Linked DNA regions of Schizosaccharomyces pombe. The gene in region 1 interacts genetically with each later gene. Each region holds a gene or a part of one and is shown in the gene's direction. Other genes may lie near its edges.

The links.
Region 2: mutations in shr3 (region 1) and ymr1 together harm fitness more than expected from each alone (negative genetic interaction), as found in Schizosaccharomyces pombe (one large-scale study listed by BioGRID).
Region 3: mutations in shr3 (region 1) and par2 together harm fitness less than expected from each alone (positive genetic interaction), as found in Schizosaccharomyces pombe (one large-scale study listed by BioGRID).
Region 4: mutations in shr3 (region 1) and pof8 together harm fitness more than expected from each alone (negative genetic interaction), as found in Schizosaccharomyces pombe (one large-scale study listed by BioGRID).

Annotation. Positions count from the first base shown.
Region 1 is NC_003423.3:1,173,356-1,180,344, reverse strand, and holds shr3 (chaperone protein Shr3), read left to right. Parts: upstream 1-4,431; 5' UTR 4,432-4,479; coding exon 4,480-4,590; intron 4,591-4,979; coding exon 4,980-5,516; 3' UTR 5,517-5,865; downstream 5,866-6,989. Other genes in the region: mef1 (mitochondrial translation elongation factor G), read left to right, coding at 1-2,265; translocation subcomplex subunit Sec66, read right to left, coding at 2,906-3,484; mtx1 (metaxin 1), read left to right, coding at 6,261-6,989. UniProt on the Schizosaccharomyces pombe protein: Involved in amino acid permease processing and required for the efficient translocation of structurally related amino acid permeases from the endoplasmic reticulum to the plasma membrane.
Region 2 is NC_003424.3:2,481,908-2,489,900, reverse strand, and holds ymr1 (myotubularin family phosphatidylinositol-3-phosphatase), read left to right. Parts: upstream 1-4,984; 5' UTR 4,985-5,154; coding exon 5,155-5,178; intron 5,179-5,234; coding exon 5,235-5,810; intron 5,811-5,855; coding exon 5,856-6,935; 3' UTR 6,936-7,493; downstream 7,494-7,993. Other genes in the region: ltc2 (BAR and PH domain-containing protein), read left to right, coding at 964-4,265, 4,364-4,703; C-22 sterol desaturase Erg5, read left to right, coding at 7,791-7,923.
Region 3 is NC_003424.3:1,330,872-1,339,325, forward strand, and holds par2 (serine/threonine protein phosphatase PP2A regulatory subunit B-56 Par2), read left to right. Parts: upstream 1-4,631; 5' UTR 4,632-5,056; coding exon 5,057-5,449; intron 5,450-5,517; coding exon 5,518-5,761; intron 5,762-5,833; coding exon 5,834-6,030; intron 6,031-6,080; coding exon 6,081-6,475; intron 6,476-6,530; coding exon 6,531-7,185; 3' UTR 7,186-7,531; downstream 7,532-8,454. Other genes in the region: phosphoribosylformylglycinamidine synthase Ade3, read right to left, coding at 1-2,362; transcription factor TFIIIC subunit Sfc1, read right to left, coding at 2,794-4,050, 4,159-4,272; geranyltranstransferase Fps1, read right to left, coding at 7,581-8,454. UniProt on the Schizosaccharomyces pombe protein: The B regulatory subunit might modulate substrate selectivity and catalytic activity, and might also direct the localization of the catalytic enzyme to a particular subcellular compartment. Has a role in cell shape control and septum formation.
Region 4 is NC_003424.3:3,621,052-3,628,043, forward strand, and holds pof8 (LARP7 family RNA-binding protein Pof8/Lar7), read left to right. Parts: upstream 1-2,671; 5' UTR 2,672-2,817; coding exon 2,818-4,026; 3' UTR 4,027-4,320; downstream 4,321-6,992. Other genes in the region: cleavage and polyadenylation specificity factor complex endoribonuclease subunit Ysh1, read right to left, coding at 1-419, 463-1,009, 1,054-1,954, 1,996-2,124, 2,258-2,355, 2,405-2,491, 2,546-2,593; protein Rqc1, read left to right, coding at 4,523-6,493; SGT2 family TPR repeat-containing protein, read right to left, coding at 6,794-6,992. UniProt on the Schizosaccharomyces pombe protein: RNA-binding protein required for assembly of the holoenzyme telomerase ribonucleoprotein (RNP) complex. Specifically binds telomerase RNA ter1 and promotes assembly of ter1 with catalytic subunit trt1.

The DNA of each region.
Region 1 (6,989 bases):
TCTACTTTAGTCGTCCGTGGTTACGCGTCAGTAGCAAATACGGGCATTGAAGCTTCTAATACATCAGAAAATAATTTGAATATCCAAGAACAGTTGAATGATAACGATAAAAAGCGACTTAAACAAATTCGAAATATTGGAATATCTGCCCATATTGATTCCGGCAAGACTACCTTTACTGAAAGAGTTTTGTACTATACAGGAAGGATAAAAGACATTCATGAAGTCAGAGGAAAGGATAATGTCGGAGCAAAAATGGATTTCATGGAACTTGAACGGGAAAAAGGAATTACCATTCAATCGGCTGCTACCCATTGCACTTGGGAACGTACTGTGGATCAGATTGAAGCTAACGAAAAACAAAAAACTGACTTTGAGAAAAGTTATAACATTAATATTATTGATACACCTGGTCACATTGATTTTACCATTGAGGTGGAGCGTGCCTTACGTGTGCTAGATGGTGCAGTGTTGGTACTCTGTGCTGTCTCCGGTGTTCAATCGCAAACTATCACAGTTGATCGACAAATGCGCCGCTACAATGTCCCCAGGATCTCTTTTGTTAACAAAATGGATCGTATGGGTGCAGATCCGTGGAAGGTCATTCAGCAAATAAACACAAAATTGAAAATTCCCGCTGCAGCTGTTCAAATTCCTATAGGTCAAGAAGACAAACTTGAAGGTGTGGTTGATCTTATACAAATGCGTGCAATTTATAATCGTGGGTCGAAGGGTGAGAAAATCGAAATTTCTCAGCAGGTTCCTGAGAATCTTATTGAACTAGCAAAAGAAAAGCGCTCAGCTTTAATTGAAAAGCTTGCCGATTTAGACGAAGAAATTGCTGATATATACGTAATGGAAGAAGACCCTACACCTGAGCAGCTTATGGGAGCTATTCGTAGAACTACACTTGCAAGGAAGTTTACACCTGTATTAATGGGTTCTGCCTTGTCCAATGTTGGAGTTCAATCTGTTTTGGATGCTGTTTGCGACTACCTACCCAACCCTTCTGAGGTCGAAAATATAGCTTTGAATGCAGCAGACTCAGAAAAGCCAGTATCCCTTGTTCCTAGCAGTGAGAAGCCGCTTGTCGCTCTTGCTTTCAAACTCGAGGAGGGAAGGTTTGGCCAGCTCACCTATTTGCGAATTTATCAAGGTACACTCAAGCGGGGTAATTACATTTACAATGTCAATTCTACAAAAAAAATAAAAGTTTCACGCCTCGTTCGTATGCATTCCAATGATATGGAAGAAATCGAAAAGGTTGAAGCTGGAGGGATTTGTGCGTTATTTGGTATCGAATGCGCTTCTGGAGACACCTTCACGGACGGTTCCGTATCGTATACTATGACTTCAATGTTTGTACCAGAACCCGTAATTTCACTTTCTTTAAAACCGAAGAGCAAAGATACAACCAGTTTTTCTAAGGCTTTGAATCGCTTTCAGCGTGAAGATCCCACTTTTCGTGTGCAGTTGGATAATGAATCGAAAGAAACCATCATTAGTGGTATGGGTGAACTTCATTTGGAAGTTTATGTCGAACGTATGCGTCGTGAGTACAAGGTTGACTGTGAAACGGGTAAACCAAGAGTTGCATTCCGGGAAACTCTTTCCAAAAAGGTACCTTTCAGCTACCTGCACAAAAAACAATCTGGTGGAGCCGGTCAATATGCAAAAGTAGAAGGGTACATTGAATACATGGATGGTGTGGAAGACGAATCTGGAAACGTTGTTGATTGTGAATTTATCAACAAAGTTACCGGTGGAACAGTCCCTACGCAGTATATTCCAGCTTGTGAAAAAGCTTTTTACGAAGCATTGAAAAAAGGATTTCTCATTGGTCATCCTATAAAAAATTGCAGGTTCGTTTTAGAAGATGGTGCTTATCATCCCGTTGATTCCTCTGAATTGGCATTTCGTTTAGCCACCATTTCTGCTTTCCGTACAGCTTTCTTGCAAGCGAACCCAATGGTTTTGGAACCAATTATGAACGTAAGCATAACGGCGCCTGTTGAACATCAAGGTGGTGTAATTGGTAATCTTGATAAGCGTAAGGCGACTATTGTCGATAGCGATACAGACGAAGATGAGTTTACGTTGCAGGCGGAGGTCCCTTTGAACAGCATGTTTTCTTATTCCTCGGATATACGAGCCTTGACTAAAGGCAAGGGTGAGTTTAGCATGGAGTTTCTCAAATATCTTCCAGCACCAAAATATGTGCAGAAGGAACTTGTTGACGCGTACAACAAACAACAACAAAAATAATTTTTGAAGTCCGTTTTAAATGAAGCAACAGCAAAGTTTTTGGTAACCAGTCATTTCTATTTAAAAAAAAAAATTTTGATCCACTCTCCTCTTTACTAACGCAGCAATCTACATGCAAATAAAAAAAATAAATACCCAGATTATTACCATACAAGTAATGTACAATTTTTTTTGTGCAAGATAGTTCATGGAACAGAGAATGAGTATATTAAAGAATATGAAGAGTAAATTATAGACCAACTTATAAAGGCTGAGCTCTTAACGGAGACATTTTGGCCAGAACATACATTTGAATTCCAATAACTTGTTTTCAAATAGTGCTTTTTTCTTTTTCCTTCTTTCTTTCCATATTTTTGTTATTGGTTTGGAAAAAAAAGGGAGTAGGAATAGGATGATAGATAATATGAATAGGAAAAAAGTATGACTTTCAATATAAAGGTAAGGACAGTGATAAAGCAAGCCCCCTTTATGGAGTCTATTACTGAATTTGATTTATGAATGAGTTCTAAGGATTATTGTATAAAATAGGAATTTTAGTTTCAAAGAAAGAAAAAGATAAGAAAACGTAAAACATCAGATGCAAGAAAGAAACAGGAAAAAAAGAATAAAGGCACATACGAACATCTTTTTTTAAAACAATTTATAGCACTCCAAGTTCTTTTTGGGCTTGAATACGCAATTCCTCATCAGCGGCTTCATACAGAATTTTTTCGGTTTGCCAACGTTGCGAAATAGAATCAATGTCCTTGGGAATATTATCAATTATGCTGTGAATTTTTTCGTTTTCAATTATTTCATTGCAAGTTTGGAATATAAACTGATTCCATCCAGGCTGCAATGAATTGGCAGTTTTGGCAATATCCATCAACTCCAATTCAGTTTCCTTTTCCAAACGACCAAACTTACGAATTAGCTCGTCACCAACGCCGCCGCGGTTGAGCAAATTATTCAATGCCATTCTCGATACTTTAAGCTTCATCAATCGACGAAGACCTTCTGTAGCCCGTAAAACGAGAGCAGCTTTCAAAAGTGTATCCTCGGCAGGTGGATTCTGCTGCAAAAGACTGAAAAATATATTTCTAGAATAATTTTCTCCAAACCATTCTTCTGATACTGGTTTTGATTCCTGATTTTTGGATTTTCGCACAAAACGAGAAACTCCATACATAGAGCCCATTAAAATGGTAATATATATCAAGGGAACGTAAATCGACACCATATTGAATTAATTAACACGGCCAAGTATGTAAAGCAAGCAGGGACCTTTTTCTTTAACAACTCGTATACCCTTTTTGTATTATTTGTTTTTTGCAGAGTGGACTGCAAATATGTATATGAGATATAACTTCGAGACCAAATGAATGCAAGACCAGTTTAGGTGTGAAAGGAGAATAGTGTGTTTTCTGGAATGCTTTATATTTTATAAGGTTGATGTAATTTTCTGTTATTTGTAGATAAGAGATATTTATGTTTTCTTAAAGACGCTAAAATATTTTACGCGATGCGCTATTAGATAAACAAATCGATCGGATATTGTTCAATTGTTTGTTTAAACTCAGGTAAAAGTTTTTAGAATTAGAAATGAAAAAAATTTACTAATAGGGAACTAGGATAATAAACAATTGAGCATTTTAGAAACAGATTTTGCGACCATTGTGAAAACTGACGAAACATATAGTTAGGAAGACAAAAACACCTCATTTATGAAATTATTTCTTTTTTTCAAGTATACAAAGGATCTTTGTATGTTCTTCTATATTGTTTCTGTAGTTTTATTAGTATTTTTACATATCGAGGCATTGGCATTCATTTGTTTTATTTACAGCCAATTAATAAATTCCCTTATTTTGATATAAGCTTTACAGTCTCGCTTAACTTGAAAACGCTATGATGTTGTGTATTCAGTTACAATAAATAGTGACATACAATAGTCGCTCAAATATATCTGGTTATATTTTATATTAAATAATTTTGCCAACTGATTTATCTTGGGTTGATTTTTCTTATTCGTGAGATTTAGATAGCCGTTCATGATGTTTTTCTGCATACAATGCATATTAGTGGAAAATGCGTTCGATTTCCTTATACTCATACAATCCTTTAGACCGTCGAAAGCGGAGTGGTATCACTTTGGTATAAAAAGGTAGTCTTAATTAACCTACCACTAACGTATATTTTCATTAACAAAAAAAAAGTTTATTATCATTATTCAAGATGGCTAAAAGATCCATATTTCGTTTTGCTGATGAAAAGGGCTTGAAGGTCGCTGCCCGTTATGGAGTCCTTATGTCAACTAGTTTTATTTTTGCTTTACTTTTCCACAGCGTATGTTCCAATCAAATTTCTATTTTATTCTAAGATTATTCATTTGAAAATCAACTTTCATTTGATATCAATTTCGTTTAGCTTTTGGAGACAAAGGGAGCAGAATATGAGAAATTATAAGTCGGTACTTTGAGTGAATTCTGAATTTGTTTTACAAAACATGCATTGTTAAAATAAATCTGGAAAATTATTTTATCAGGAACGTTTCTAAAAAGGAGCTTTTTGTCTGTTTAAGTTTTCATAATCGGATACGAGCATTCATCTTACCGCTCAATGTTTGCCGCGCTGCTCATTTTTCTGTTGTTCTTATGTTTTTGGAGCTTCACTTCGAATTGATTACTTTGTTCATAGTCTTTATTTTCTTAGCATAAATTACTAATGTCATTTAGAGCGTTGCCGATGTGAATACCTTATGGAGTCCTGGCCCTGAGTCTGCTTTCGATGCTGCTGAAACTTACTATACTTTGGTGGCTGGATCCCATTTCATTGTAAAATATACTGTATATACCATCATGGGACTTAATATGATTTTCCATCTTATTCAAGCCACTGGCGCTAAAGGTGATGACAAATTGTTCTTTTACTCTAGCACGCTTCTTTATCTTACTGCACTAATTTTGTTTATTGTTAATGTTGCTCCTTCTATGTTGGTTGTTAAGCTACAGAATTATGTTCAATTCCCACGAAATATGCACTTGTCCGTTCTTGCTGCTTCTCATGTTCTTGTTGAATTTCTTCTTGCTGGTGTCATTCTTATTCAACTTGGATACGTTTTCGGATATCATGTTCAAAGTATCCAGCAGCGCGAATACGCTGAAGATATGAGGGAGCAAGAATTAGCTGAAAAGGCTAAATTGGAATCCGAGTCTGCTACTACTCAGAGTGTAGAAACTGTTTCCACCGAATCTGTTTCAAAGCGCAAGTAAACAAACCACTTGGGTCTAATTTTACAACTTTTGGAATAGAGTGAACTATTTTATATCTTGCTAATTATTGTTGCTAGTCCGTCATCAACTCTTTGACGCAAAGTTTATGTCTAACTAGAAAGCAAAGAGTGACTTGCATTGACGGTAACTGGGAAAGCTTACATGTGTATTCATACGTACAATTATATATATACAAGATTTATACTGTCTTATATAAGAAATAAATTGACTTGAATTTTCGATAGAGGAATAGTTCGTTATGTTTGGATTTAGAATAGTCTTTAGCACACTTATACTTCTTAATAATTAAATATGTACTCATTGTGCAAAAAGGATTATCACAAGTGAAGCTTTTGTGAGATTGTATATTCTTCTATACTATGGATGCATAAACAAAGTCTCATTTTAGATGGGTTTTACGCTGCAGATACAGCAGAAGCGCCATACAAATATACTAAGTAAAATCTCAAAGTTCAAATGCTCAATCGATTTATTGTGCTAATTATCGATGTTTAATTCACTTTTTAACAACTAATAAATAGGTAACAATGTTACTTGTTCGTATAGCTTACTTGACTGCATAGCATCAGAATGATAATTGTAACTAGCTTCAGCGAATTTGGTAAGTTGGACTAGTTGGTTAGTTATTACCTTTTTTTTCTTTCTTCTGTGTTTCTCTAATCTCAACCCTACTGTAGACGGTAACTTTTTCAATTCATTCGTTCGGGTCATTTTTTGATCAAAATGTTGCAACTTTTCATTTATAGCCCAGGACTTGGGCAACCAACGATGGATCCTGGATGCTTAGCGGCATTAATTTATTGCGCACTTGCCGTCCCAAAGGACGAAATTGAAATTCTTCGCACTGCAAATTCAGGTATGAGCCCTACCCATAAGCTACCAGCTTTGTGGGATGGTCATGTTTGGATTGGATCTTTGAAAAACATTTTAATATACTTGAAACAGAAGGGCTATAATTTGGATAATTTTGATGCGAAACAGCTGGCCAATGTTATGGCCTTCACCAGTTTATTGGAAGGTTCCGTCAATGACCTTTGGTTATTAGAAGCCTTTGTTAATGAGGAAAATTTTGTTGAAGCAATAAGACCTGCTTGGTCAAAGGCACTTAAATTTCCTCATAATTATTTGACACCCAATGCTTTGCAACGGCAAGCAAAAGAACGCTTGGCTCAAACACTTGGTATTCGCGACGAAGAAGTCTCTTATGAAGCATCAAGGATGCCTATTTCTCATAAATGGACTAATGCTACTAGACATAGGCAAGCTCTACTGCGCACGCAAGCTCGTCGTATAAGAATTTCGTCATTAGCTCGGCAGGTATATGGTTCGCTTGAGTCCCTGATTTCAGATTCAAAATTTATATTCGGTGAAAAGCCAACATCTCTCGATTGTTTGTTTTACGCCTATTTATCTTTCCATGCTTTCACCAATGAGCTTCCTCAAGCAACTTTG
Region 2 (7,993 bases), on another chromosome or scaffold:
ATTTTTTTATTTCTAATGTCAATGATTTAGAAAAATTTAGTTCGCTATCGCAAGTGCTTAAGATACACTACTTCAAAATTATAAACATAACAAATATTTTTAACAAGCTCAGCTGAACATGTTTCTAGGTTGCACCCTTTACTCATTATAATAATTTTTTTTTTAAAAATTAATTTTGAAAGCAAATAGCAACCAGATGTGGCAATAAAAAAAGTAACAAGTAATTTACCCACAACAGAAAAATCTAGGTATTTTTTATAATTTTAGAGATGCTTTTGTTTTACTATATACATAATTCCTAACTGTTCATAAAATTTATTTAACCACTTTACCAAATATTTTGTTTACATACCAATTGAAGTACAACCAAACCTGACCATTACAGTTATTGATCGTGCTCAATTTGTATATTGTTTTATAATGACTTAAAAAAGATTAAGTGCAAACATCAAGTATAAATTAAGATACTATGCTCACAAATTAGTGCCACAATTTTTGTAATAAGGCTAACTCATTCTTAGTAAATTTTACTTAAAAAAGAAGAAAACGAAAAATTAAAAGCACTTTTATTTTTCTAATAGTAAATGTATTTATATTTATGATATGTATAAGGATGGAATCATTTCACTTATATATTTTAAGTAAAAATTCCTTAGCTAGCTGAAACATTTTCCTTGTGATTAAATTTCTAACACTCAGTTATTTCGTATTTGTTTACCTTATAATAGAAGTACTTAAATATCGTTATTCTAATATAACGAATTGCTTCATCTTGGTTAAAAAATGCAGCGTCACTCTTAAGTCAAAAACATCAAGTACGCCGCTACAAACATGCCGCATCCGACAGCCGAAAGCGCATATACCGGTTTAAAAATCATCCTTTAGACGAGTGGACATATCGTTCTTAATGCTTTCTTATATGAATTGAAGTTTTTGGAAACTAATAGAAGGAAATGAAAAATCATGGCCGCTCCTGCAAATGCGTCTTCAAAAAAGGATCATGTTATTCCAGTCTTACTGAACGAATGTAGCATTGATTCTCCGTCTTTTAGGGCGAGCATGTATTATCTAGGGAATCAAATCAAAGCGTTTAACGAATGGTCTCATGATTTCTTATGTTGCTGCAACAAGTTTATCGAGTCAATAATGGCGATAGAGCCCATTGTCGCCAGTATGTCGTTGAATGCTATGCCTTCTAATGTTGCTTCAGGATTTTTTGATCCTGATTATGCAACAACCGCTTTGCTTCACGGTCAAGACTTATTTCGGTCGTCATATATGGTGCAACTTCAACAAGCTAAAAATTTACGGAAATTTATTGTTGCTCCATTAGATCTATTTCGAGATTCAAAAGTTAAGCCTTTGCTTCAATTAAATGATCGCTTTAAAGCCGAGCAAGCCAAGTATGATGCGGAAGTCTTAAGGTATTCTTCTCTTGGACATTCAAAAGATTTATCGCAAATGCGGGATGAAGCAAAATCTTTATACGAAGCTCGTAAAAGTTATTTTACAGTTGCTCTACAATACGTAGTTCGAGTTACCTCCTTTCGCTCATCCATTGATTTCATAGTTATTGAAAGCATTTGCAAGTTTTCAATTGAAACGTTTCGTTTGACTGATCGTCTGCACGAGTCCAATAGGCATATAAATGATCAACTAATTCGCTTACTCTCTTACGAAACTAAACTTAAGGAATCTTATCCTTCACTAAAAAGAATAGTATCTAACGTTTTTGATAGAATTGAGAAGGAAATTCTTAAGAGAGTACAGCCACCAACTAATTTAGACGCATATCGTTTCGATCCCCAGCAAATATGTCAAACAAACGCAACTAAACGTCAAGGGTGGTTACTAAGAAATATCAGTTCTAGCAAGGCAGATAACAAAGCAATTTGGAGAAAATACTGGTTTTTTGTCGACAATGGCTATGTCGGATATCTTATTAATGATGCCAATGGTGGTGTTTTTGAGAGCGAAAAAATCGGAGTCCTTCTGTGTAAGTTTTCTGTTTTACCAAGCAATCATCGGAAATTTTGTTTTCAAATAAAAACGAAGTCCGTGAGCTACATTCTGCAAGCCGAAACTCACATGGAAATGCTTGAATGGGGCAGCGTAATAAATAACGCTCGAGAACACTGTATCAATTCCGGGATATCTGCTAACCGAATCTTGTCTCCTACCTTACCATCGTTTTCTGCTAAAGCTACATCAATTATAAATCCACAAGTCAATGGGCGCTCAAACTCTACGGGGAAAATAGGAAAAAATTATCGTCCTCGTCGTACTTATTCGGGACGATTGTTATGTGGTCCAAACAATTATGAAGTTTCAACTATAATGCGATCTCCCACAATTTCAACTGTTCCTCCTCCAAAGTATCTTTCAAATTCCATAAATGGCGCTAAATTCCTTAATCCGCTTGCTCCATGGACCCTAGTCAATGCACCACTGATAACAAATTTGACTCACGAAACGATAACCAGCCTTTTGGACCAGGAAGCCTTTTTTCATGGTAATTCTCCTTGCGCCTTACTGGCAAATTTTTGGGGTTCAGTCAATTACGGCCATGTTTTAGAGCGTCAGAACGTGTACATTGAAGATCTATCAAATCCTTCTTATAAACGTTTAGCTAGAGAAATTCACATTGAAAAACTTCCTTCTGAGCTTAAGTTGAGGAATGCTGAATTTAGAGGTATATTTGGTGAATCGGAAGCATCTACCGTTTTATTTGTATGCCGTGTTTGTAGTAAAAGAGAGGATCAAATACGTATGCCTGGTCGAATGTATTGCACTATGAAAGGGATTTACATATATTACAACATCAATGGATTGGTCCTCATTGAGCATTTCCCCATTTCTAGCATTTTAAACGTAAAACAATTTGCTAGTACTAAATGTGATTATTTTTACATGAATATCCAGAACATTGGGACTGTAAGGTTCCGTCTCTATCTCGATTCTTCGAAAGCTCTAACTGACCGACTTAATGTGTTACTGTGCAATTACATTGCCGATAAACCAAACAGTTCAATACAACTGTTGTCATGTATCAAAAGATTGAATGATGATGTAAAACGCTTTGAAAGGGGTGGTGACGATAATGCTCTCAAGTCTTATGGGGTACAGCCATCTCAAGAAGATCTCCTTATTCGAAGAGGAAGGAGTAGTAGAGCGCTAACTAATTTGATCAATAAGAATGAGAGTAATGATTCATTTATGGAAGACCTCAGGGACTTCAAGATTGCTATGCTTCCGAAAGAGACAGTCCAAGTTGTTCGTTCTCATCATCTGGACGATATTGTATTTGATCGAGTGTACAATGTTTCTACTAAGGCATTGTTTCATATTGTTTTTGGTGATAGAAGCACCGTGTTGTCTGGTGCTTACAATCTTCATGGAGTAGATGATGTCGAATTTTTACCATGGGGAAAAGATCCAAAAACCAATTTGAGTCGTCGATACATCAATTATAAGGTTTATAATTACGACCAAGAAGGTCAATGTCAATCTTACCACTATGAGGATTGCCAAATAATGGACGTCCGCAATGATTATCATTTATACATTATGACATGGCTTCATCACTCTTGGACTTTGCCTTATAGAGATTACTTTAAAATCGTGACAAAAACTTCTATATCTCACCTTAGAAGGGAGAAGTCTAGATTGCTCATATCTGTAGGCCTTGAATGGATCGTTAAACCTTTTGCTATATCAAAGGTTATTGAGGCTGAATGTAGAAAACTGGCTATCAAGTATATAAAAACGGAAGTCAACTTTTTGGAAAAGGCAACTAGAAGAGCAAGAAATCAGCCGCTTATTGCGATAATAAATCAATATGGAAGAGTAGGCGACTACAATGAATCGATGGTTTATCGAAGAAAAATACCTTTTAACTGTGAATTGAAAAACCTGTCAATTATCGATATTATTCGCAATAATTGGTGGCTTTTTCTTCAAGGATTGGCAATTGATCTACTAAAGCTGCCGTGGGCTGTCTTCCACATTTTCCTAAGATATTTATTTTCTCACTCATTTTTGGTTATTATTTTTGCTTGTTCGGTTATCTTGAACCTTTCTCTCATGTTTTGTTTTGGAGCTAAGTACTGGGATGAGCGACAGAATAACAAATTTGTCGGGCAAGTTTTCGATGAGTTTAAAAATATTGAAACTTCTGCTCGTTATGTTTATATGAAGGACGTTGATGATTTATTAGTCGGACTTCCTACTTATTTGCACCCCAACGTCACTTATCCAAGTGAATGGTAAGTTTGTTAGTAGTACCATGTAATTATAAATGTTGATTACATGTACATTATATTATCTTTTTTTTGTTATTATTATTATTCTAATCTTTTTACAGTTTACAATCATTTGCTTTAAAAAGTTCTCCTCAAAAAAGTCACTGGTTACGAAAACGGAATTATATTGCAGAAAAAAGAAAAAAAATATTGGAAAATTTGGCGTCTCTAAACTATTACGAATATATAATTCACGAGGATGCCGTATATCAATACATTCAACAAGAGCTGTTGGGATGTGACAAAGCAAGGGAATTTGATTTATACCCACCCTCGATGCAAAGGTATTGCGATTCTTGCACGCAAGATTGGAGGAACCGCACTTTGTTTTTCGGCAAAGACACTCTAGCTACAAGATTATTGACACTCGAGACTGTGGAAAACGCAGACTACGCTGCATAATTGTTAATGAAACTGTAACTTAATTATTTTTATTGTTATTTTATTATCTTTTTTATATTTAGGGTTTTATGAGTTATTTGATCAAGCACTCGTTTTTTTTTGTCAGATACACAAATTAATAAAGTTGAATTTATTAAACATATATATACCAAAGATAAGTGTAACTCCTCTACATCTTTCAGAATCGTCCTTTCTATTGTTTAATAAACAAGGTAATGATATGTCAAGTTGTAGCCTTGATAACCGCAATGATTACAGCCATGCACTTGGCAGCATTAATCGACAGCACCACCGTAAATAGTTTAAAACCTTCATCTATCTAAGTAGAACGCAATTACATTCTGCGCTAAACACATATTTAATTCTTTGTACTCATATTTTGTCACAGTACTTGATAGTACGAGGGTTGCTTCATTTTATTCAATTGCTTATAAAAAGAAGTTTCCGTGTGATGGAAAACATCAAAGTTGCAAAAGTAAGCATAATGCGATTAGATCTAAAACTTAATTTTATCAAAATATTAACAAATAGGTCGGAAATGTGAAGTTTGTGAACAAAGGAAACGAATTGAACGGAACATTGCATTTGACAGCGTATCATTCTATTTTTTCAATCTCGGAAAATGGGAAGGAAATTTGGACGGCATATTCCATGATAAATAATGTAAAGCTTTGCTCTAACGAAAAATCATTTTGTATACGTATACAATGCCGAGACTTTATGTTCTTTTGTTGGAGGTTTCAAAGCACGGAGGATGCGATGGACGTATACGACACTTTACAGGAATTGATGTCTATTAATTCAATAAATATGCTATACGCATTTTACTATATGCCCTCCGGAGATGAAGAGAAACTGCCATCTTCTTGGAAATCATTTCTACTTGAAAATGAATATAGGCGCATGGGAGTAGGTGATTCCACCCAAGCTGATGGTGCTGGCGGAAATTGGAGGATAACTAAAATTAACGAAAATTACTCTGAGTGCCATTCTTATCCGCAAGCTCTAGCCGTTCCCGCTAGCATTTCTGACAGTGTTATATATTATGGATGCAAATATAGATCTAAAAATCGATTTCCTACCCTTACGTATCTCCATAAAAATTCTGTAAGTTTTACTAACTTTGAGAGGCTTTAATACTAATTTATTTAGTTTTCAATTACGCGGGCCTCTCAACCCCTTGTGGGTATTCGTCAAAATCGAAGTGCACAGGATGAAAAACTTGTTGAAGCTATATTCGCAACATCAATCATTCCTGGAAAAGAAAATCTTATAGTTGATGCGAGGCCTTCTACTAATGCGATGGCTAACATTGCCGTAGGCGCTGGAAGCGAAAACATGGATCACTACCGTTTTGCAAAGAAGATATATCTTGGAATTGATAACATACACGTCATGAGGGATTCTTTAAATAAAATTGTGAATGCTCTTAAAAATACAGATATTAGTGCGGCACCTCCATTGATAGAACTCTTAAACAGATCAAGTTGGCTTAAGCACTTGGCTAACATTTTACAAGGAGCGGTTCTTATTGTTAAAACAGTTCATTTTAGGCATGCCCATGTACTTGTACATTGCTCAGATGGATGGGACAGAACTTCCCAGTTATGTGCTCTACCTCAATTGTGTTTGGATCCTTACTATAGAACAATTGAGGGATTTTTTGCTCTCGTCGAAAAGGATTGGCTTTCCTTCGGGCATAGGTTTGCAGAAAGATGTTGTCATTTACCTGGTAAACGTATTTTTACAATCGACAGCTCATACTCAGAAGAACCACCCCAATCTTCACCAAGTTCGACTTTACAATACACTTTTTCAACAGTACGCTCTGCTTTAAGTGGCTTCTCAATTGACCATTCCGAAAAAATGATGTCTCCGGTCTTTCATCAGTTTTTAGATTGCGTCTGGCAAATTATGGATCAATTTCCTAATTGTTTCGAGTTTAACGAGAGATTTTTACGCCGTCTACTTTACCATCTTTACTCTTGCCAATACGGTTCGTTCCTATACAACTCTGAACGGGAACGAGCTCAAGCATCCGTCAGCACTCATACTCGTTGTATCTGGGACTATTTCCTTTCTCGGAAGGATGAATTCAAGAATCCTAACTATGTACCTTATGATGATGTTATAATGCCTGATCCTTCATCGCTGAGATGGTGGTCAGCTTCTTTTGCTCAACCTGATGAAAACATGAATATCCCATCACCCTCCGAATCTCCGTCTTTATGAAACATTTACTTGAAAATCTTCATTGGACATTTTCCTTCCATTTTTGTCTTCATTGGAAGTTCTTTATTAATTCCTTTTTATGCTCATTTTAGCGCAATTTAGATTGATTGCATCTCTTTCTTTCTCTCTTTTTAGCCTCTCTTTTGCCTAATTCAACTTTTCATCATCGCATGTTGACTCCGATAATCTATCTACATGGACTTTTGCGAGAGACTATGAACGCATGAAGAGGACGACAGAGTCGTTTAATTTACTGATACATATTTTGAAAGTTTACGTCCCAAATCTTCCATTTATTTTGGTGATCCATGCTAAAATTTTTTTATCCCCTTTTATACGATTATCGCTTGGACTACGAATCCCGTTCCTATGATACTTTTATTTTATCAATTCTTCCAATGTTCTTCTACTCTACTCGTATAACGGACCATTCACTGCATTCTCATGCAATCACTTAACAAAGTTTGGTGTAGATATGCTAAGCGATGCTTATATATAGTATGTATGATTGCACATCTCATGATTGGTAGTTTAACAGCTGATCTTAAATGACTGCCCAGTAACGAGTTTTTTCAATATAATAGTGAGTGTTAGTAAGCCTTTCTAATTACTGCAGTAAGAAAGCTTTTGAAATTATAGTATTAGTTTTCATAACTTTAAATTTTTCTTTTCTTTTTTTTTTACTTTATTGTAAGATTCACATCGTACCAGATTTATCTATCTCATTTCGGAGCGTATAATTGCGTGTCGGTAATTTTCTATATAAGACCGATAGCCCGACAAGGACTTTTCCTTCACCAATACCCAACGAGTTGGATTTGTTGATTCATTCATCGTGCTCCTTCCTTTAAAACGATGGAGATGAATCAAACTGAGACTTTGATTCCTGCAGCCCGAAACGTTATTCGGGTGCTGGGATACGAAATTGAATATTCGAAATGGACAATTTGCTTCGCCCTTTTGGCTGTCTGCATTGCTTATGATCAAAGTATGTTAAAGATTGAGAATTATTTTTTTGTATCAACTGCTGCATAAATACCACGATGAAAAGCATCATT
Region 3 (8,454 bases), on another chromosome or scaffold:
GAATGCTAATACCAAGTGATGGGCACAGTTCTAAGCCTATCGCTTGCACTGCTTCATAAAGTTTTGCACCTTCTCCAGGATGCGAAGGAGCTGCCATCCAGTTGGCGCTAAGACGAATACGATCTAAAGCAGGAATAGATGCTGCTACAAGGTTCATAATACATTCAGCGACAGCCATTCTAGCGGAGGCAGCAGCGGATACTAACGCACTGATTGGCTTTTCACCCATTGCGAGGGCTTCACCAGTGTTAATTCCCTTTCCATAGGACGTGACGGTTACGCCAACGTCGGCTACAGGTACTTGCCAAGGACCAACCATTTGATCACGAGCAATCAGACCAGTGACACTCCGATCTCCGATGGTGATGAGGAAGGATTTAGACGCAACAGCAGGCATTCTTAATACGCGTTCCACAGCATCAAGAATTGGGTCACTCGATGGCGCCAGATATGACTTCAAAGAAGAATCAAATTTAGATAAGGGAATTGTTTGAGTTTCAGCTACTCGAGACATCTTGGGAGGCTTGCCAAACAGTACTTCCATAGGCAAATCAATTGGAGTAGTATTGTAAAGTCTATCGGTCAAAATCAAACGTTGCTCTACAGTAGAGTAACCAACAACTCCATAAGGGCATCGTTCTCTTTCACAAATGGATTTAAAAGTATCCAGGTCTTCTGATTTAACTGATAAAACGTAACGCTCTTGCGACTCACAACACCAAATTTGCATAGGGGACATACTAGGTTCAATACAAGGGATATCGCGTAATTCAAACCGGGCACCCAAACCAGCATCATGAACCAATTCTGGCAAAGCATTGGATACACCACCAGCACCGACATCGTGAATTGACTGAATTATATTCTCGTCCATAGTTGTACAAGCATCAATAACCATTTGGGCACGACGCTGCATTTCAGGGTTACCACGTTGAACAGATGCAAAATCTAGTTCCTCAGAGCCTTCACCAGCATTCATACTGGATGCTGCTCCTCCACCCAAACCAACTAATAAAGCAGGACCTCCTAGAACAATAATAGGACTACCAGGTGCAATACTTTTTTTGAAAGCATGCTGCTTGCGAATACGGCCAATACCACCAGCGGCCATAATTGGCTTATGATAACCACGTATCTCAAGAGTTCCATCGCCGCGTGGAACTTCCATACAAAATGTGCGGAAATAGCCATTGATACAAGGACGTCCAAATTCATTATTGAAAGCCGAACTGCCAATTGGAGCCTCAAGCATAATATCAAGAGAAGTAGCAATGTGATAAGGTTTTCCAACATCCAACTCCCAAGGTTGCTTGTAACCAGGAATGTTTAAGTCTGAAACGCTATAACCGGCAAGTCCCGCTTTGGATAAAGAGCCTTGCCCGACAGCTCCTTCATCACGAATTTCGCCACCTGATCCGGTAGCGGCACCAGGAAAAGGAGAAACAGCGGTAGGATGATTGTGTGTTTCAACTTTACCAAGAAACTCAACCGGTTCATCCTTCATTGACCAGATACCATTGACTGGAGCAAACAACGTTCCCGAATTTCCCTCAAAGACAGCGGCGTTGTCAGAATAAGCAGAAATTGTATATTGGGGATTTTTTAAATGGGTATTTCTAATCATTTTAAATAGACTGTAGTCTTTCTTTTCGCCATCAATAGTCCAATCAGCATTGAAAATTTTATGACGACAGTGCTCTGAGTTAACTTGACCAAACATGAAAAGTTCGACGTCTGTAGGCTCACGACTCTTTAAACTAGGCTCTGAGGTATAGCACTCAACCAAATAATCAATTTCATCAGGTGCCAAAGCTAATCCAAACTTCTTATTGGCATGATTCAATCGCTCGGTTGCAGCCTGCTTGTCACCACCTTGCCCACAGTTAAGCTCTATTCTCACAAGTGGAGCTGGTTCGTGCTTATCAAAAACTTCATCCTCTTCCGGAAGTTTAAATCTTAAAGCTTCAGTCATGCGATCATAAAGATGATTCAAAGCAGATTTAAGCATCTCTTCTGAAATGTCATCTTTAAAAACTACTGAATAGGCAATACCTCTCTCTATACGAATCACATCTTTATATCCACAAACATTGGCAATGTTCGTTGCTTTGGATGACCAAGGAGAAATTGTTCCTGGACGTGGAAACACATATACCATCGTTGTTCCATCAGGCTTGAATTCAGATTCTTGCAAATCAGACAAAATTGGTCGCAGACTTTCGCAATTTAAAGAAGAATTGGACTTAGTATAGATCAAGTAGAAATAAACAGCATTTAGATCAGAAACTCCAGAAACTGTTAGTTCCAAAATTTTTTTTTTACTCTGAACGCTCAAGGCAGATCCACCATAATAAACCAACATTTTCGTCTAAAATGATACAAACTCCAAAAGTACTATTGAAATAGTAGAATGGAGATACAATTACAACCTCGCCAAATAGGTTGGCTCAGTTTATGTACTAACAAGTCAGGAAAAAATATGTACTTTAAATTGCGCTATGCAGCGTAGTATTATTGTTTGGTTCATCCGGGGGCAATCGACTAGCGCACCACTAAGCAGCTGTAAGATTAAACATCTGATAAAATTATTGACATTTGTAACCACAAAATCAAGCGAGCTACTTCAGAATTAAAAAATGAGAATTAAAGATCAGAAACAATTGATAGTTGAAACCTACTCATAAGTTATGTTTTACAAGCCATTTACCATGGTCAGTTAAACAAAAAAGAATATAATGAAATTTAAGTTGAGTATAATTTTTTGTATCGAAGTACCTTGACATGGGGGGGGGTTCAATCACCAAATATATCATCGTAGTCATCATCAATTTCCTCTAAATCCTCAAAGCCTTCATGTTCTTGACTTCTCTTCATTAAATTCCTCATTAAATCATTTATCCGATCATCTGTTGCTGAAGTATTCAAACCTCTAACAGTATCATTTAAATCTGTATTATCCTGTTCATCAAAATTCGAATATCTGTCAGATTCCTCTACCTCTTCGGCGTTTAAAATCATATTCACCGCGACTTCAGAAGGCATTTCTCCTTCGATCAGCGCAAAGAGTTTTTCACGCATAAGATCTCTAACCTTATAGTAACGACCGCTTCTATACCATCCTGTGTCCCGATGACATTCAGAACGTAACTGAGTATCTTTCAGTAGTGGTGCAATTGTGGGATCTACGATATCGCACACTTGATAAACACGATTAGTGGGAAACAAAGTCTTGCCATCAAACACGTGAGTTTTAGTCCCTTTATGTTTTCCATTTAGCTTGAGTTTAAAGAACAAAGCTTGGTAAGCAGCTGCATTAGAATCTTTTCTAGGATCGTATCCAAACCGCGTATATGTATCTCTAAATGGACCTGAAGTCCATAAATAAGAAAGGTAAGGAAGAGCAAATTTCAAATAGTGAGTATATGACGGGTCTAGATGATTTAATAAGGCTCTTCTCGTCCAAACGGGTCGTTTTTCAAAAAGAGGTTTTAAAGCTTCTATAACTTCCTGAATTGTCTTCGAAGGCTCACCTAATTTTGAGTGTCTACATGTAGGTACACTTTCAACCCCCATATTTGTAGTGATAATCCAAACTCTGCATTGACCTTTTAGATTGACTATTGTAGTTTTCCCATTAGGTAGCCGAACTCGACCTACTAGTGGATTTTGCAAGAAGTTATAAGACATGGGTAGACTTGTCTGAGAGAAAACAGGAGGAGGAGGCATGTCGACATGTTTTCTTTGTACCGGAGTTAGATCGATGGAAAACTTATTAATGGCGTTATAGTCAAGCACTCGCAGAGTGGAATCTAATTTTTGAACGAATGGTGAATTTTGAGTACTATACTGGAAATCAGCCATATCTCTGAATAAGAAAACTTGACGAATTCTACTGACATTTTGCACAGAGTTGTCCATTTTTTTAATCGTTACTAATAGGTCATTTCTGGATTGCACTCGAGCTTGTACTGGATGATGGTATTTATCTTTAGGCCTTAGATTCAACTCCAACAGAGCTTGTTTTGGGTTTTGAAATGAAGTTTGACATGCCTAGAAATTGTTAGTATTAGGTCAAAAAAGATTATCAAATTCATGTTTTATAAAAGGGGAAGCTTAAAGATGTAAGCCGGTCATTCCTATACTTTTTTAGCAATTTACCTTTTGAATTGATTGAACACCGCCTAATGTCTGAAAAAATGCATCCTTGTTATTAGCAAAGCCCGGATGCTCAATGAGTGCATATTCATTGTCAGAAATTTTTAGACTATTCATAAGATATATGCCTAATATGGTATGCTATAAAACACTGGAAAAAGTAGGGCAAAGACTTTATATATATTTGCTTTTAAAGTAATTTAATTAATAATCTGGATAACTTATTCCTCAAATGAAAAATTAATTGATACACATCAATATCATTGCTTCAAAAGCATTTTAATTTTTTGGCAGCTAAAATAATGTTGTTCCAAACCTCGGACATCGTACAACAATACAGTAACATCATAACACAAGATTTTTGCCGATCCGTTAATTCACAGTACCAGCCAATTTCCCAAGTACGTTATTTCATACTACCAGCCTTCGGTAGCGTCCCATAACATTCGAGCCACTCGCCCCGTTTTGCTTCATTTGCCAAACATAACTCATAGTAAAGTTGTCATTACAGGAAGTTTCAAGGTTAACCCTCTTAACTATTCCCTAGGGTGTTTAGCTTATATACCCATCTTATAAAGGGGCTCAGAATTCTGTTACCGAGGTTGTTGCCGTTAACTCTTTGACTTGCCGAGACATATTTACGGAGTACTTGAAAGGAACAAATCATTTATTTACCCACCACATAAATTTACCCTTTTCTAACTCATCATTGTGTACAAATTTATTAACAGACGTTCTTTTGAAGAAAGACAACGTTTACATATTCAGTAATAGGTGCATTCATTTAAGTTTCGAAATTACATTCGGTCCCAATCCTAGGAATCATTCGTTTTTTAAATTTGGTTATTCGCTATCTTTATAACTTGCAATTGAGCAAGGAAATCATCTCATTTGCCTTTTAATGAAAGGATTAAGGAGTAAATTTGTAAAAGCACTTTCGTTGAAGGATGAACAAGGGTCACATAAAAATGGTCATTCAAAAAGCCACTATATCTCTAAAAATGGGTCTTACGTGGAAACTGACGACGTGAAGCACACAGACACTCACCATTCTTCAAAACACGAGCTTAAAAAACTTAAGAGTCATTTCCTAAAAGATACTTTAAAGCACAAACGAAATCATCATGCCAACTCAAATAATGAAAAACATGAAAATTCTGATAAAAAAATACATACGACGGTTCTAGCATCTGGACATGAGGATTCTGATTACTCTACGTTTTTGCCCGTAATTGAAACTTCTAAAGTTAAAGACGCCAACCATTTCCCACCTAATTATCCAGAACCAAAAAATGTAAGTATACGTCGGTTAGTTTAATATTTTCTACCAAAATGATTATTTTCATACTAACTTACTTGTAGGATTCTGTATCGTCTAACATAGACGAATTTCCTAATGATTCCATATCTTCTGCCTCATTTTTATCTGTCCCACAATCCACTCCTCCTTATTTAGTTTCACAGCCAACTCCCTTAAATAAATTTTTAGCAGGTGCTGAGAATGTTGACATTCCGCATAGTCTTAGACCAGTACCTCGACGCGAACACTCCTCTCAATTTCAAGTATCTGAGAAAAGAACATTAGTTCGGTTGCCTTCATTTGATGGTACGTTTAGTAAGATTCTTATATCTTATTTTAATAATGTACTTTTTTTTATTCTTGTGCTAATATAATTAGATGTTCATACCTCTGAACGTGAAGAACTGTTTATAAAGAAGCTTGAACAATGCAATATTATTTTCGATTTTAATGATCCATCTTCCGATTTGGCTAGCAAAGAAATAAAAAGAGAAGCCTTATTACAAATGATAGATTATGTGTCTGAAAACCGCGGTATTTCTTCCGCATCGCTTTTTCCTTATGTTGTCAATACAGTATGTTTACTCCTCTGCTTTTTATTACTGTAAAAATCTAATCACTATAGTTTTCCCTCAATGTATTTCGGCCTATATCACCTGCTCTTAATGATTATTCATCAGATATGTTTGCTTTAGACGATGAGCCTTTTTTGGAGCCAGCGTGGCCTCACTTGGAAGAGGTGTATTTATTATTTATTAAGTTCCTAGAATCTCCTGACTTTAGAGCCAGTAAAGCAAAATCGCTCGTTGATCGTAGGTTTTTTAATCGCTTGCTAGCACTATTTGACACAGAAGACCCGCGTGAGCGCGAACTTCTGAAAACAACATTACATAGGATTTACGGAAAATTTCTGAACCTTAGGTCATACATTAGAAAGTCTATGAATAATGTTTTTTTGCAATTCATTTATGAACGAGAAAAATTTCATGGAATCGCTGAACTACTGGAGATACTTGGAAGGTATGTTTCATTAATGGTTATAGTTCCTAAATTGATTTACAAACTAACTTATTAGTATTATTAATGGATTTGCTGTACCTTTAAAAGAAGAACATAAAATATTTTTGTCCAAAGTGCTTATTCCTTTACATCAAACTAAATCTGTTTTTTTATACCATCCCCAACTTACGTATTGCATTGTTCAGTTTATCGATAAAGATCCTTCTTTAACGAAGGCAGTCTTGACTGGCATTCTTAAGTACTGGCCACGAATAAACAGCTTTAAAGAATTACTGTTTTTGAATGAAATTGAAGATATCTTTGAAGTTTTGGAGCCTTCCGAATTTGTTAATATAATGTCCCCTTTATTTCAGCAACTAGCTCGCTCAATATCTAGTATGCATTTCCAGGTCGCCGAACGTGCCTTATGTCTGTGGAGCAATGAGTACTTCACAAGTCTTGTCAGCCAAAACGTAGTAACCCTTCTCCCTATAATATATCCTTCTCTTTACAAAACTGCTAATGAGCATTGGAATAGCACTATACAAGCTATTGCTTGTAATGTTTTACAAATTTTTGTCGATATGGATGCGGACTTTTTTAATGGACTTGTTGAGGATTATAAACAGGCCATTATAAAGCAAGAAGAAGTTATGATTATTAGAAAACAGCAATGGTGTCAGATTGAGGCATTAGCGGCGGAAAACAAACCCACTGATTATTTAAGATAATTCCTTCGTAAGGAATATGTTTATATATGTTACAACTATTTGGTCGCGGCAGAGAATAAAGTTTATTTAATTTGTAATCTTTAGAAATTCCCTGTTTATACGCGTAAACGCCAATTGGGATTCATTTTGTTTTTGCTATCTTTTATACACCGCATTTTATATACTAGTGTCAAGATTCATTTTGGAGTCGTATTACCACCTTTTGTTACATATTTTAATACGCCTCATGAGAACTGGATTTTTAATGATATAAGTTATGTAGTATTTTGCAGGTCCTTTACCAATACAATGATTCAATATTAAAAGTTGGTATTGTCAACAATGGATGTATTCTCTAAAAAGTATCTACAGCGCAATTGCCAATTTGAGTCGAATAAAAACATAGAACAAGAAATTTACTTATTTCTTTTGTAAATCTTTCCTAAGAAAGTGGTAAATATGGATTTTTTCAAACCGGTTGATTCATCAACTCCATCAATTAGCTTTTTGATTTCAGAAACTTCTGATTCCTCATAGTTCTCGAATTCACCACGGATATTGAGTTCCTCAAAAACAGCTTTAACTCTCTTTTCGCTTTCGCTATCTTTACGTCCATAATTGTCGTCCAAAATAACACGTTGTTCAGGAGTACACTTTGCGAGAGCAAGATTGATAATCCAAGAACATTTGTTGTCTAAAATATCAGTCCCAATTTTACCAGTTACCGTAGGATCACCATAGCAATCTAAATAATCATCTTGAACTTGGAAGTATTTACCAAGGATAATAAGGATGTCTTGGGCGCATTTCAAGTTCTCAGGAGTAGCTACACCAGCGAGATGCATTGCCAATGCGACAGGCAAATAAAAGGAATAAAATGCAGTCTTGTAAATTACAATGAAAGAATGCTTTTGAAGAGAAAACTTCGAAAGATCGACGGAGTCTTCGGGAGCAGTAAGTAAATCGAGTTGCTGCCCTAATTCCGTTTGAAAAGTTACGTCGTGGAAAAGTTCAATTAGATCAACGTAGCATGACTCTTGACGAAAATGCTTTTTCAAAAGAAAGTAAATAGCAGATTCTACCATAAACGCGTCATTAATAGCAATATTACCAACGCCAGGCATTAAATACCAACATGGTTGACCCCTTCTAGTCTTGGAAGCATCCATAATGTCATCAGCAATAAGGAAAAAAGATTGAAGCAACTCGACCATCCATCCCAAAACAGCTGCTTTCATGTACGCTGCTTCGTCCAAAGGATGTCCAAGAAGAATTTCATAACTGTCAATA
Region 4 (6,992 bases), on another chromosome or scaffold:
TTCGCTTTTCTGTTCTTCAACTGGTTCTGTCTTATTTTCATTTTTAACATCATCTTCTATTTTCGTTTGCTGCTCAAAGATTTTATCATCGTCAGATTCTTCATTTTCAAAATCATCTTCGGAGACGTCGTTTTGTGAAGCTTCAGAAAATGGAAGGATAGTATTGATCGCACGGGATAAAACATGTACGACTCTAGATCGTAACGCTTCATTTGAACATTCAACTTTCATAGTCGAAAAATCAATAGACGCTTCATATTTTTCAAATTTGATTTCAACCCCCTTTTCCGTTTTAGTCATACTTTCGCCAAATTGGTTGTCCAAAAACATCATCAGCTTTTTAATACGATCTTCCTCCTTTGATACTTTTGGAGGCTTATCTAAATGCGAATGCAAATGGTTACATTTATGGCTCGTCACTATTAATGGTTAGAAATTGTTCCACATTAAACGCAGACTTACACTTGACAGAAGCAGGACTGCTTTCAATGCCTAGTAGAATAGTAATTACTGAATCAGCTATTGTATCATTCATAATGTTGCCAACCCATTCAAGAGCAAGCTTATGTTCTTGGATTAAAGTCAAAGTAATGGCGTCCATTACTGTATATTGAGGTTGTCCTGCCTTTGTTTTTGACTGTTTGACATATCCAAACATTTGTTTTAAATGGAAATTTGCAAGCTCCATACTCGAAAAAAATGGAATGACTTGTTTTTGGGTTAAAACGGTGGTAGTAAGGTCACTGAAATCTCGAAGATCTTCAGCTGACATCAATTTATAATTGGCATCCTTTTGAATTAAAATTCCACTCATAATGTCGCCTTCTTTTGGTTTATGAACAGCGACCTTTCCCAAAGCTCTCACTAACCGTTCCCCTTTGAAAGGAAGATATAACGGTACGCAATTTCGAGGGGTATATACTTTGACATCGACTTTTCTATTGTGAAATTTGCTGGCTAGAGCACTTTTTAATCGACCCATATTTGTTTGCTCACCATGCACCAAAATCTATAATTAGTTAATTTTAACGTTACATTAGTAACTAAACATACAATGTGATCGGCATTTACCAGGTCAATGAATTCACTGTTTTGAAGATAATCAACATGAGCCGCAAAAGAAAGTTCCTCCACTGCCATTCTTCTAGGAATCTTTTGGCCTGAAAGTGACACAATTTCAATAGGCTCATTTGTAATTTGCTTTGCCATTGTCCCTTCAACAGAATAACCAGTAAGAAGTAACGTATTTCGAGGGTCAGGAGCCCATCTTTCTAAGAGGGTTCTTGAAACACCATTTTGTAGCATACCAGGACTTGCCAATATTACAGAAGGGCCAATATCATCGAATTTTTCTAAATTTCTTAGACTTTTGACAAAACGAAAGATGAACGGATTTCGTTCGGCAAAAATTTTTCGAATATTATCATTCATCATGTTAACATAAGTTTGAAAAATGGCCATACACTTTCTCGCTAGCGATGATGCATAATAGATAGGGACTGAGCGAAGATCGAGATGATTATTCCAATATTCATCGAGAATGAGTAATAACTCCTGAGCTCTTCCAAGAGCAAAGACAGGCATCAAAACTCTCCCTCCATTGCGAATAGTGGAATGAATAATATTTAACAGTCTAGCCTCCTTCTCCAGTCTTGGTTGGTGAGATGCTGTACCATACGTGGATTCTGTGATCAGCACATCTGGTCTTTTAGGAGGAACCTCAGCGACATGCAAATGGCGATCTTCTTCTCGTGAGTAGTCGCCTGTAAATAAAATATTGACTCCAGCCATTTCCACAAAATACATACAGGCACCCAAAACATGGCCCGCATGATAGGGTGTAAACTTTATACCCTCAACTTCTATAGTTGAATGGTAGTCAACAGCCTCGATTCTATCAAAAGCGGCTAACAAATCTTTCTCATCGTAAAGCTGATCTTCCATGCCTACATTACTGCGAGTTGTTAATGAATACTCAGAGCTAAGAATACATACCTCACTTTCACGTAGTCAGATAAAAGCCACTTGCAAACTGCCTTTGTAGGATGAGTCATGAAGACACGACCTCTAAAGTTCGTCTTTTGCATAACATAGGGAAGCGAGGCTACATGATCCAAATGGAAGCTTGCTTAAGTTAGAAATACTTTTCAAAAAAAAATGAATCAATGCCTAAGGGACCATAATAGTAATTGGTACAAGAAGTACTCTAATCTAATAACCTATGGTCGTCTCAAGTAGTGGTACAAAAGGGACTTACTGGCTAATTAAAAGTACATCTACAGTGCTCAAATCAAACTCATCAAAAAAAGGAAGAGCTGAAAGCCCAGTATACGCAGGGTGAACACCGGCATCGAGCTAGCAAAAATTAGCATTCACAATCATAACAAAATAAAAATTAAAATACCATTACTGTTTTCCCTTTGTATTGAATAACATGGCAACTGCGACCAACTTCATTTCCGGCTCCCAAGTTAATAAACTCCAGTAAATCCTGACATTGGTTAGAAAGTAGGCCCTTATAAAAAATCGTAAATTCAAGGCTTACGGATGGGTCTACAGGTGCATCTTCATCAAATTCCTTTCTTTTGGACATCTTTCCAAGGGCTTTTGTCTAAAAACCACAATTGGAAAGACAAGGTCGTGGGTGCTGGGCAAGCGCGAGTTATTCTTCACCTACGCATTCAACATAAATTGGGAGAAAGCAGAACAAAAATTTACAACCCTTTTTTTTTTAATTAAGAGCACCTAATTCTATTTATTATTAATGACTTCACTTTAATTGATACTAGAAAACCGTACTTTAAGGAGCGAAGTAAAATGTTTGTGCCAAGGCAACTGAATGTTCGCAAAATTAAAGCATTTACAGGGAAGGAAAATAATTCTATTGCAGATGGAAATAACAACAAATTGAAAGATGAGCATTACAAACATAATGAAGCCAGCAAAGAACCAAGTCATTCCATAAGCGGAGGACTCATGTTAAATCAACAAGATAGACAGCTTATTGAACCGTTAAATCCTGACTTTTTATCAGCCGTTGATTCTATATTAGAAATTTATTTTCACCGAGAAAGGCAAAAAGAAAAAGTGCACTTGGCCTTTTTAATCCAGCAAGATGATTTCTGGAAAGGAATCCGCCCGAATCCAACGCAAAATAACTTGAAGTATGCTTTATCTTATGTTACTAATGCGCTGTTTCATTTCGATAATTCCTCACACATGGTTATTAGAAATGAGAATATTGTTCTTCCTCTTGACATACCACTGTATGATAGAATTATTTACGTTGAACCAGTTCCGGCTACTCTGTCTAATAAAAGTTTACTTTTGGCTGGGAAACTTCGCAAATACCTCAAAGAGTTCCTTCCCTATGTTGATGCTATCGGTACTCCTGAAGGTTATGCTTTTGTAATTTTGTACAAAAAGGTTGATCAATCAGCACTTAGCAAGTTGCCTGTCCCTCCTGGATGGGTACTGTTGACTCGTAAAGAATGGACAAATCGTGAAGAAAAATATTTTGAAAATCAACTCCATTTAGTAAAAGCGTCATCTTCAGACGTTTCAAATTCATCCAATTCCTTTCCTGAAAATCGTTATCCCAAACTTACTAAAGTAGAAAAACAAATGACCAAGTCTGTATCCAAAACCTCACAAACTGATAAAGATGAAGATAATTTGGATTTTACCAAGAATCTTTTGACCCGTATCAAGAACCTCCATCCTTTAACTAATAAATCTACTATTCACAGCCTCTTGAGTTATGTTTTTTCGCGGCAAACTCAGAATATTGCATGTGAGCCCATGTATATAGACTATAGGAAGGACGAAACAGAGGCGATAATACGTTGGAAAACACCGCTTCATGCTGAGACGTGTATCAACGCGTTTCGTACACAAGAAAGGAAACAAAACAGTCATGATGATATTCGGGCACATAGGAAAAAGGGATCTAGCCGTCCATTCCTGATTGCTGAGCTAATTACCGGAGAAGAAGAAAAGAATTATTGGCGTATGTTAAAAAAGTAATATGTTTTCCTTTCTCTGGTAATACTAATTTGATTTATTTACTACTTTATAATATATTCTGGTAATATAGGCATACAAAAAGGTAACACGGTCGTTATTCTCACTTTAATACTAAATTTGCATTAACAGTTTTTTGTATTAATAACCCCTCTAATTTTCATTTGGCTGATAACCTATTGCGATCAGCAAAAATTCCAATAAACCATGAACCACAAATATGTAAAAACGGTTTACCACCCCACAATTGCAAAATTCTATTACTTAGATTTTAATTACATATTCTGTACATCATTGTTGCTCCCGGCTTGTATTTTCCTTAACGCCTTTTAACTACGAAACGTAATATTCTTCACTGCTAACAGTCTTAAAATGAAATATTTTCTGTATGTTATATATTAATTTAGCATACCGAAAAGTTCTTGAAATTGAGGTGTGTTTTCATAGGTCTGAGTTAAATTCTTACATCTGCCATTCTAGTCTACCACAAACCATTCTCATGTCTTCACGAGCTTTACGGAAACTTCAGCGTCAAAGACAAACCGAGCTATTGGAAGAAGCTTTAGACAGTGAATCTGATGAGGATGACGAGTTTTCTTCAACTTCCGGGAAAAAAGTAGTAAACGTGTTCGAAATTCTCGAAAAAGAAAATAATGCTATTAACTCAGAGGCAGAAAAAAGTGTTTCTGAGGAAGAGCAGGATGAACCATTAGTAGAAGGCGAGTCTCCAATTGTCTCTACAAATAAGAAAGCAAAAAATAAAAAGAAAAAGAAAAAGCAGCAGAAGAAGAAGAAAGTCACTGGAAAGCGTGATTTAGATAATCAATCTTCTGATAATGAGAAATTGGAGGGACTTGAATCAAGCAAAAACATTGATGATGATATTGATGAAATAGAAAAGGCTGCTGCTGAATTAAAACTTAAATATCGTGAGCAAGATCAGGTTGAGCATGTTGCTGGTGTCGAAGAATCTGCTACTATCCCGTTAGATAAAGAACTTGATGAAAAATTGAATAAGTTATTGGGTGTAAATATTAGTATGTTAAATCCTGATCTTGAAATACGTAAGATTTTTGGCCGCATCGTTGAGAAACGTTCGGTCAACGCTCGACATGATAACCTGCGGAGGAAACGCCATGTTTTAGTACAGCCTCAAGAAGGATGGCCTCCTTTAGTAAGATCTGGACTTGGAATGAAACTTACCGGTCAGTCACAAGACTTAGAGTGCTTTTTTGAAATCACTCAGAGTCGTGCTTACCAGGAAGTTCAAGAGACATTCGAGTATTACGTGCAAACCTATGACCCTAATAACCTACTTATGCTTTTACGCTCCCATCCTTTTCATATAGACACGTTATTACAAGTTTCTGAAATAATAGATCAGCAGGGCGATCATGAACTGTCAGCAGAGCTTGTTGCCCGCGGTCTTTATGCTTTCGACAGTATTCTTCATCCTAGATTTAATCTTGCAACTGGTGCCACGCGGCTTCCTTTTGCCATCCCTTCTAATCGGCGTCTTTTCCTCTGTATTTGGAGATATTTACAAAGTCTACAAAGCCGGGGTTGTTGGAGAACCGTCTTTGAGTTTTGTAAAGCTTTACTGCAGTTCGACATGTCAGACCCCTACGCAATTGGTACTTGTATTGATATATATGCACTTCGTCGAAGAGAATTTGCTTGGATAATTGATTTTGCGAATTACCTGGAAAATTCAAACAAAATTTCGGACACGCCAAATATGTTATATTCGTCAGCACTTGCCATGTTTTACGTACATGGTGATACTACCGACACACGAGCGAGTATGCTTGCCGCCTTTGAACGTGCACCTTACATGCTAAGTGAATTGTTGGACACTTTGAATATCTCTTTCACAAAATCCTCTATTCCATCCCCTCAAGATCCAGTTCAAGAGTTACATTCTGCTATGTATGCTTTATATGCTAAGGATAGCTGGTCTGATCCTACGGTATTAGCATTCATTAATTCCATTCTTGAAAAAGAAACCGTGACCCTGCACGATGTAGAAGGACAATTCGCAGAACTCACTGAAAATCTCTCTAGGCGTGTTATCCTGTTAAATGAGCAAAGCTTGAGAAAATTTCTACCACAGAGAATCTTGCAAGGAACTATTTTATCCTTTGATCCTCTACCTCCTGATACATATTTAAGCGAGTCACAAGTCTTTGGTAGAGATATATCTCGTCGAATTGCGTCGTTCTTGTCCGATTATTTATCCAGAGCAAGAGAAGTTAATGAAAATGAGGAAGAACCCCCTGCTCATGAGTTTGATCTTCCTCCTGCTGAACAATTGCTACAACAGATTGAATCGGAGGTTGGTGAAGAATCAGAAGATGGAACTCCGGTGATGACCCGACTACGTTCATTTTTTGGAAGCTTGTTTACATCAACAAACTCAGAGACGGAACCTGCAGAAGAAAGCACAGAAGAGATGGGTCAAGGGGATTGAATTATTTCAAAAGAATTGTTTAATGAAGTCCTTATTTTCATACAACGAAAGCTATTGTAAAATTATCAATAAAAATTAGATGAACTATTTAAAAATAATACGAAAAACGATGCAAACGCTACTGTAAATACGGTAATCTTAACAAACATGTACAATATGATTGATTAGCAGAATGATTGTATATGCAAGGTACTAAAAAATGTCAAAGCAATTCTTCAAGTATTCAAAATGAATTTAAATGCAAGATATAAACTGCTTGAATGAAAAGCAAAAACAAACAAATCAATATACACCTATACTTTATTGAGGGGGAGGATTTCCTTGGTTATTGTTATCAGTGTTGCCATTATTGTTATTGTTCATAAAATTGCGAGCCAAATTTTGCAGTTGGGGGTTATTGGCAAGAGAACTCAAGTCAGGCATACCTCCTCCAGATTGAAAGTTACGGGCCATGTTGGCAATATTAGGGTCATTCATAATATTATTCAAAGCACCCGAT